Linked DNA regions of Oryctolagus cuniculus. Each later gene encodes a partner of the first gene's protein in a complex. Links are inferred from orthologs where the notes say so. Each region holds a gene or a part of one and is shown on either strand. Other genes may lie near its edges.

What was found.
Region 2: the proteins of RAB1B (region 1) and TBC1D20 are in contact, whole or in part, in a crystal structure (PDB 4HLQ), measured with the Homo sapiens proteins. The link is inferred for Oryctolagus cuniculus from reciprocal best matches to the Homo sapiens genes RAB1B and TBC1D20. Residues at the interface, in NP_112243.1 of Homo sapiens: Ser17, Gly18, Ser36, Tyr37, Ile38, Ser39, Thr40, Ile41, Gly42, Val43, Asp44, Phe45, Gln60, Trp62, Ala65, Gly66, Gln67, Arg69, Phe70, Thr72, Ile73, Tyr77, Glu94; in NP_653229.1 of Homo sapiens: Gln97, Gln98, Leu101, Asp102, Arg104, Arg105, Leu107, Arg108, His141, Tyr142, Tyr143, Gln144, Gly145, His147, Asp148, Phe177, Met178, Asp179, Pro180, Thr181, Met182, Lys186, Val212, Ile215, Leu218, Ser219, Thr223, His227, Met272, Ala273.

The regions. Positions count from the first base shown.
Region 1 is NC_091432.1:5,574,571-5,578,877, reverse strand, and holds the start of RAB1B (ras-related protein Rab-1B), read left to right. Parts: upstream 1-1,362; 5' UTR 1,363-1,498; coding exon 1,499-1,512; intron 1,513-3,009; coding exon 3,010-3,082; intron 3,083-3,315; coding exon 3,316-3,411; intron 3,412-3,489; coding exon 3,490-3,585; intron 3,586-4,307. Other genes in the region: KLC2 (kinesin light chain 2), read left to right, coding at 43-126. UniProt on the Homo sapiens protein: The small GTPases Rab are key regulators of intracellular membrane trafficking, from the formation of transport vesicles to their fusion with membranes.
Region 2 is NC_091442.1:26,546,897-26,551,149, reverse strand, and holds the start of TBC1D20 (TBC1 domain family member 20), read left to right. Parts: upstream 1-1,339; 5' UTR 1,340-1,472; coding exon 1,473-1,542; intron 1,543-4,168; exon of another isoform or gene 4,169-4,252; intron 4,253-4,253. UniProt on the Homo sapiens protein: GTPase-activating protein (GAP) specific for Rab1 and Rab2 small GTPase families for which it can accelerate the intrinsic GTP hydrolysis rate by more than five orders of magnitude. Also shows GAP activity for RAB18 GTPase.

The DNA.
Region 1 (4,307 bases):
CCCTGACCCGCAGGAGCTCACCAGGGCCCCCTCTGTCCGCAGCCTGGCGGCGCGGGGCTCTCTGACAGCCGCACCCTCAGCTCCAGTTCCATGGACCTCTCCCGACGGAGCTCCCTCGTGGGCTAAGCCTGAAGGGGCAGCCAGTTGCCAGAGCCGCCCCCCGGCACAGCCCCAGCGCTCGCATGGGCCCGCTGCTCGTCCCGCCTGCCCAGCCCCAGGACCCCTGTCTTTTCTGTTCAATCTCAGGGTAACCTCCCCGCGTCGTCCCAGCCTGAGCCCTGGAGGCCGGCCTGGCTGCCCAGCGCTGCCCCGTATTTATTCTCTCCAGCAGAGCCCCTTGCCAGGCCCGTGGGAGGGGCTGGCTGCTCGCCTCGCCCAGATCCGGAGCCCGGAACACTAAGCCCCGCCCTCCCCCGGCCGTTGCTTCTGTATATAGAGAAATAAGTTATTGGCCGCGCCCCTGCCCTCCGTCCCGGTACTCCCGGCCCTTCTCTAGTGGTACCGCCCAGGCCTTAATCACCCCCATCGCGCGCGGAGTATCTCCCGCGAGCGGCGCCGCCCCGCAGGGCTCCCTGACCTGCTCCCGCCCCTCCCGGCCTCCAGGGGACGCCACCAGCTCGCCATCGCCCGGTGTCCCGGGACGGAGAGCCCGGAGCCCTCCTCGCCCGCCGGCCCCGCGCCGCGCCCGGCCTTATGCACTGCCCCGCCGGGGCGCCGCCTCCGCGCCTGCAGCTTCCCGCCGGGGCCGGAGGGCTCCCCAGCTGGGGTGGGGTGAGGCGGTCGCGCCATTTTCAGATGTAACTGGAGAAATAAAGACGTTTGAATCTGTGCTGGGCTTGTTTTGAGACGGAGGCCGCGGGTGCCCCAGGCTGGGATGGGTGGGAGAGGCTGCGCGTGTCTCCCACGGGGGCCAGGCCCTCTGCCCCAGCCCAGTTGTGGGGGGCGCTGCTCGGCTCGGGGTTTCTTCGAGAGCCTTCGCTCCTTCGCCCCAGACGGCCCGGTCTTTAACGAGATCGGCCGTCCTCGGGTTTGACCTTGAGCGAGTTTCCCGAGCCCCGGTTTTTTTTTTCCACCTATAAAACTAGTGTGAGGACATCCTCCTGGGCCCGTGGCTGTGCGTGAGGAGCTCTGACTAGTGCATGACCGGCGCCACCTTCCCACGCAGAGCTCCCAACCTGGGAGCCGAAGAGGGAGAAGGCGGGTGCGCCAGCCCGAGCCGTCCTCGGCCCGCGGCTACCAGGAAGCGGACTACAAGCTCCAGAAGGCAGTGCGCGGCAGGACAGGCGTGGGCTCGCAGCGACGCCTGCGCCGTGGGGGGTGGCGAGTCGGGCACCGTGGGGGACTACAAGTTCCAGTAAGCAGCGCGGCGAGGCCCCTGTCGGGACCGTGTGCGCCTGCGCGTCGCGGGCGGGGCCTCAGGGGCGGAGCGGCCACCATCTTGGAACGGGAGGCGGAGCAGAGCCGACTGGGAGCGACCGAGCGGGCCGCCGCCGCCGCCATGAACCCCGAATAGTGAGTGAGCCCCGCCCGCGCCGTCTGGCGCAGCCTCGGTCCCGAGTACGGGGCTGTACGCGTTCCGGAGTTGTCTGGCCCGGGTCAGGACTGTGCGGCGCCCCCACATCCGGGTCCCTCTACCACTGACACCCCCCCCCCACACATACACACATCCGGGTCCCGCCCCTCCCCCCGGGGGCCCAGGACCCCGTCTTGACACCCCCGAGTCCTCGAAGCGGGGGCCCGAAGCGGCAGCCCCAAGGGCAGCGCTGGGAGCCGCGCGGCCGGCGCGCAGGCCTCCGCGGTCAGGTGACCCGGCAGCCCCGGCGTCCCCAGGCCTCAGTTTCCCCGGCTGTGCGGAGCCTGTCACGCCGGTTTCTGGGTTCAGACTCGGCTCTTTTGGGTCGGGCTCTTGGCGAAGAAGAGCAGCGCCTGGGGTGTGGAGCTTGGCGGAGAGGGGGCTCAGAGCCCTGGAGGCAAGCGAGAAGCGAAGTCGATTAAGCCCCGCAAAAGTGCGCTCGGGCGGGATCCGAGCGGCCCAGCCCCTGGGCGCGGGGCGGTGGTCCTCCGTCGTCTGTCTGAACCGAGAGGTGCGGCTCCCGGAGGATGGGCAGGGGGCTGCCCGGGAAGGCGGGGCGCGGGCTGTCCCGGCGGAGTCGGGATTCCGGCGTGGTGGAGGAATTCCTGGAAAGCGTGGGGAGCCCGTGTGAGCCCCCTGCGGCCGTGAGGATTTCGAAGGTGGCTCGGAAGGCCGGCTTCCACGTTGTCTCTGCGGCCCCTGGAGTGCAGGTGTGCCAGCCCTGGGGCCCTGCCCGCGCCCGCCTCCCCGGTCTGGGGCCGAGGCTGGCCAGGCGCAGGGCCCGGGGCGGCGCTTGGTCCCGTCTCCCGCGCCTCGCGCTCGCGGGGTCTCCCGCGCCTCGTCCCGCCTTTGCCACCCTGCTTTCGCTGTCCCGCTGCTGCCGGGCCCGGGCGCCGTGGCGCGGCCTTTGCCTCGCGGCGCCGGCTCTGGGCCTCGCTGCCGGCTCGGCTCTGCACTCGGACTTCCCCGCGGTGCGCTCTGCTTCCTCTCTGCCGCTTCCCTCTTCTGCCCCAGCTGGAGGCTGCAGGTTTCCCCGGGCAGCGCCCCCCGGGCCGCGGTGCGGGGTGGGTGAGACCCCGCCTTGGGGCCCCCTCGCAGCTCAGTCTCCTCCCTGGCCTGGGGTCTCTTCGTGGCGACTTCAGCTGTGCGCGCAGCTTTGTCACTGAGCAGGTTCCGGGCTGAGCTCAGCTTTCCCTCTGGGGCCTGCCCTGCCAAGCCACTGGACGGGCCGGGAAGGTCTGGAGTCCTGGGAAAAGTCCCAGCGGCGGCACCGGGCTCTGGTTCACAGCATCCCGCCCTTCAGCGCCCGGCGCCCTGTCGCGTCCAGGGCAGCGCTCCCCCAGCCAGGCCTGGCGGGAGATCTGGGGGGCCGCGGCCGCGAGCCCAGGGTGGCAGCAGTGCGCTGCCTGCCCTCACACTCTCTCTTCTCTTCCCAGTGACTACCTGTTTAAGCTGCTTTTGATCGGCGACTCGGGCGTGGGCAAGTCGTGCCTACTCCTGCGGTTTGCTGTGAGTAGAAGCTCCCGTCCCCCAGCCTGGGGTCCCAGCTGGCAGCGGGGGGAAGGGCCCCCCAGAGCACAGTGGCTGCGAGACCTGGGGACCCAGGGTGAAGTCGTGGGACCCACCAGTCACACATCAGACTAAATGGCACAGGGCCCAAACGTTGGGGTGCTGAGAACTGGGGCTCCCCTGTGCCCCACTGGGGCCCCGTGGCTGAGGCGCTGCGCTGGCCCCGGCCCTAGGATGACACGTACACGGAGAGCTACATCAGCACCATCGGGGTGGACTTCAAGATCCGCACCATCGAGCTGGACGGCAAGACCATCAAACTCCAGATCGTGAGTGTCGCCCGAGGGCCCCGGGGAGGGGGCTGCGGCCTGGGCCGCGGGCCGACTGTGCTGCTCGCTTGTCTGCAGTGGGACACAGCCGGCCAGGAGCGGTTCCGGACCATCACCTCCAGCTACTACCGGGGGGCCCACGGCATCATCGTGGTGTATGACGTCACCGACCAGGTACTCCGGGGCTCCCTGTCGCCAGCTGTGCCTCCCTGCCTTAGTCCGAGATTCGCACGTCATCCTGGCCTCTGCCCTGACAGGGGACTGACTGTGTGCAGGCTCACGTGCAGGGAGGCCAGCCTTCCAGAACCCTGATGCAGGGGCTCGGTGGGACCAGGCCGCAGCTTCCCCTCCGCGCCAGACTCGCCCCTCGGGGTTTTAGTCAGCTGGGTGGCCGCGGTGCTGGACCTGTGGCTTCCTGTGTGAGACAGGGGCGGCACTTGGAGGGCCCTTGACCAGGAGGCCCGGGAGCCCGGTGTGAGCAAGAGCCCAGGCTGTGCGTCTGCTCTCACGCCGCTGGCAGCAGCCGGAGACGGTCTGTCCCCTTGCGACACTCATGCGAGGGCTGTGTCCCAGGAGGCCGTGGGCTCAGGACGGCGGGGGCCCTGGGCGAGTCCTCCAGCTTGTGGAGGGCAGGGGCAGGAAGCGCAGTCTTTCCCTCCCCCCCCGCCCCAAACCTGCCGCTGCGTGGGGTCCAGCCCCAGGCGGAAGGGGTCCCTGCTCCCAAGGGCAGCTGCTCTTTTTTTAAGACTTATTTATTTATTTATTTGAAAGACAAAGTTGGCAGAGAGAGAGAGGTTTTCCATCCGCTGGTTCACTCCCCAGATGGCCGCAATGGTAGGAGCTGTGCTGATCCGAAGCCAGGAGCCAGGAGCTTCTTCTGGGTCTCCCTTGTGGGT
Region 2 (4,253 bases), on another chromosome or scaffold:
TGACAATATACCCTCCTTCCCCCACATTCTGATTGTCACGAATCCTTTTATGATGTTAACATCCCTGTTTTTAAAGAAAAAGTATGCACACGTATATAATATCTACCTATGAAGTGAAGGAGGCAAAATGTTAGAAATTGTTAAATCTTAAAACTTAAAAAAAGTGTTGCCTCAGGAGGGCATTACCTGGTTCTTGTCTTCATGCAAGAAAGAGTTCAGATGTGAGACTGGTAGCTGTGAGCATGCTAGCGACATTGAGTGAGGAGTGCACCTGGCAGACCAGGCCGGGATCTCGGGAAAGAGCTGGGAGCCGAGTCTGCACTCACACTGGTGGTTCACAGATGCTGTGTCTGGGCCTTCTACACCCTCTCTGGAATATTGCTGGATGAAGGGCTTTCTGGGTGCGGAGTTCCACCGAGAACCTCTTAATAGTCCCCTTGATGAAGGGCAGAGGAGAGAGGCTGACCCCAGCCTGGTTATTGAACCACATCCACTTTAGATGTGTAAATGTTAGTTTGCTGCCTTGTTGCATCGCACAGAAAAATTCCCATTTTTCTTCTGCCCCTCACACACTTAGGCTCATGTATACCTAGCTACCATTAACAAACATTTGTAAAGACTTAAAATTCTGATGCTTAAAAATGGAAAATTATTAAATTTATAAACCCAGTTTCAAATGTTCAAAGGGCCTTCATTAAATTCATTAATGAGCCCAAAGAATCTCATTTACTAAATTTATGAACAGAATTGTAAAATTTGTCAGTTGAAGGAAAAAAATCGCTTGGGGATTTCTAATTTTAATAAATGGAATATTGGTTCTAGAAATCAAATTAACTTCGGAGTAACCTCCCCCAGCGAGACGGGGCCCTGGAGGCGGATGGGGCAGGACGGGCAGGAGCTCCGGGGGGAGGCAGGGCAAGCAGACGCGGAGCGGGTGGCCTTCGGAAGCCGGGCGTGTCGCCGGGACCTGGCCTGGTCAGCCGCGGGGGTCGCGGCCGTGCAGAAGGCGGGCGCGGTGCCCACAGGGGTCGACGTGGACGGCGTCTACAGTGCACGCCCTGGGCGCCAGCGTAAAATCCCTAAGCTGAAACGGCATCTCACAGTTACACAGCAGGCCTGGTAACGTTCTAAGCACCTGTGAGCTCAGTGCTCTTAGTCCCACTTTGCAGACAAGTCCCGATCGCACTAGGCCAAGAGCGACAGCTGCTACGGCGGGAACTCTCCCAGCGCGCTCCCGCCGCTGTCCCAGGCGGCTCGGGCCGCGCGCGCCTCCACCGCCCCGGCCCCGCCCCCCGCGCAGCGGAGCGTCACGTGCCGGTGTGGGGCGTGGTCTCCGCTGCGCCTGCGTGCCGCGGGCCGACGAAGCCGAGCCTGCCCGGGCGGAGTGGGCGCTGCGTCCAGCGGCCATAGCCGCGTCTTCTCACGGCTCTGCCACCAGCCGGGGCTCGGGCTGGAGCCCGGGCCCCCGGGACATGGCCCTCCGGAGTGCACAGGGTGACGGCCCCATCTCCAGCCGCTGGGACGGCGGCGCCGAGAAGGCAGGTACGGAACCCGGCAGGAGAGGCCTGTGAGGTCGGCCTCAGGGGCAGGGGCAGGGGCGGCCCCAGGGCCCGGGACAGCTGTCTGAAGGGGAGCCGGCGGCGGAGGGGTGCCGGAGGGGCCGCGGGGCGGCGGGCGGGGTCTGGGCAGCGAGAGAGAAGATGACTGCGGGGCGCGTCTGTATGGGGAGAGGGTCTGCAGTCGCGGGGTCCGGCGGATGCTGAGCTGACCCAAGGAATCCTGGCGGCAGGATCGTGCGGGGCTGTGCGCTCGGGCCTCGTTCCATCTGGGGAGGAGACGGGGCTTTCTGAGAACTGAGGCAGAGGCCTCGCCCCCGTGGGCCCGAGACGTCCGGCCACGTCCGCAGACTCCTGGAGCCGCCGCCCTCTTGGAAGGGCAGGTTTCCCAAACTTGATTCACGTGTCGCCACCTAGACTTAACGCCGTATATGCGTGCGCCACCTGTTTACCATCAAATTCTGCCTTTTCCGGTGTGAAGTTCGGTGGTTCTTAGTGCATCCACGAAGTTGCGCCAGCATCGCCGCTGTTTTCGAAACATTTCCAGTTCAAAAAAGAAACCCGTGTCCGGCAGGAGCCGCTTCGCCTTCAGCTCTGGCCACCGCGGCTCTCCCTGTCGCATCCTCCTCCACCTATTTTAACCTCATTTAATGGGGTTAAAAGGGCACTGGTTTTTTTTTTTTTTTCCCCAGGCTGTTTCAGTCTGAATTTCCATGAATTCATACTTTTGTTGCACGTTATTATTCTCGAATGTTTTCCAGTGACTACTTGACGGTTAAACTGATGCACGTTTGCTTCGTGCCGAGTTAGAGCGTCTTTCCCCCCGGCGAATGCTGGGGTGGTTGTCCCACGTTGCCCACAGCACGGGCCCCAGAATCAGCCCTTACGGTTCGAGGAGTTCCCGGCCTCCACGTCTGGCGTCTGCTGTCCCCTCTTTCTTCGGGTCTCGGACTGGCTGCAAGGGGAGCCCACTCCGCCTGTTTGTCCTCAGCGCCCTTTGGCGTCGTAACCCCTTTGCTGCTGTTTGTGTGACATCTGTCCTCGTGCGTAATAGTCAGTGCCGCGAGTGGCATGGGCCTTGTGACCTGTTGCAGTGCAGCTGTATCCTGGCAGGAAAACTTGTGCCCCTGCGCTTCCCGTGATGTTGCTTCTCGGGATAAAAGGGAGGAATTTAGAGATGCCGTTTCTTTGATTTTGGTTTTGTATCATTTTAATCATATGGGAGAATTGTTGGCAGAGTTACAATGCCAGAAGCCCTTCTCTGTGGTGCTGTGTCAGCTTGGTTTACTCTCTCCGTCGCTGGTGTGGTGAAGCACTCTCCCCCCTGTGGCTGGCCACGCAGCCCTGCACACCTCTCCGGCTGCCCAGGGTGCCAGCTGCTGTTTTTTCTCCCTTCCCAGACAGACACCGCTTGGTCTGCAGCTGTACTGGCCCATAATGAGACCAAAAGCATTCTTTCTTGATACTTTATGTTTCAGGGAGTTAATGAATGGCTGCTAATTTGGATACTATTTTGTAGCAGCTAATTAGGAGACCTCCAAAAAGAGAGACTACTTTATGTTGCTTTTAATGGGAATCATACACAGGATAACATAAGGTTTTCCTCTCCCGATGTCTTTCTCTGCTATAGACCTGAAGTTCATAAATTTTCAAGTTAATTTCCCATGTTAATATCACGAGTTGTTGGGGGTAGGGGGAATTCTGTCTGTATCTCTGATTGGCCCTCCTGTTATTTTGGTTAAGGCTAGCATTGCTTAATGTGGGTTTAACTTTTTAAAGACTGTTCATCTTTCTGGATATGCAGGCTTGACCTCAGCCTGTGTGAAATGTTGTACCCTCACATAAGATCCCAGTATGGAAGTGTGGAGATCACTTGATCCCAGTCACTAGCACTTATTTTGGTGAAATGGAGAAACTTTGAGAAGCAAGCTAATGGTCATCTTTGGCCATTGTTTGTTCCCTGTATGGTTAGTTCCCTGTGCCAGGTACTTTTGATTTGGGAGAGGTTTAAGACAACAATTGCTCAGCCATCTTTATCTGAACTGTTCAAACTACTCCTTTGGTGCCCCTATTACAAAGTAAGCATTTTAATGGTGAGCTGGCCAAAGCAGTGCCCGTGCTATTTCTTTTTCCTTTGTTGAATGAATTACTTTTCAGGCATTAGGGATTTATTTATAGCCACTGTGTATTTTGCTGCCAGCTGTAGGACAGTCATTTCATTCCATCATGGTTATAATAGCCAAGACCTCTACTATAAAGGAAATTGGAAGGGATCAGCTTTGGAGTATATAGTGTATCTCTCAGAGAGCAGTGAAGAAATCGAAGAGGGAAGATTCAGGGGGTTAGAATAACACATCTGCCGCTCTAGATAAATGTAGTCTCATCCCAAGCCCAGATAGAGCATTCTCAAATCCAAAATGTGTGTCCTGCTCTAAAATTTTGGGATGCAAGATTAAGAATAGAATCCGAACAGGGAGAAATAAGTACCAGCGCTGTGGTTTGGGTTCCGAATCAGTTAACTTTCTGACTTTTCTGTTTGCCAAAACCTCGTGGAAATCCAGCTGATTACAGTGTTCTTTGTCCCAGGATAAGTAATGCTTCCTTTCCCCCAGATTGCTGCTGAGCTTGCTTGAAGGGAAAGTGGAGTGGCTGTGTCGAAACGAACTGTGGGGAAGCTCTGTACTCCTAGCAAACAGG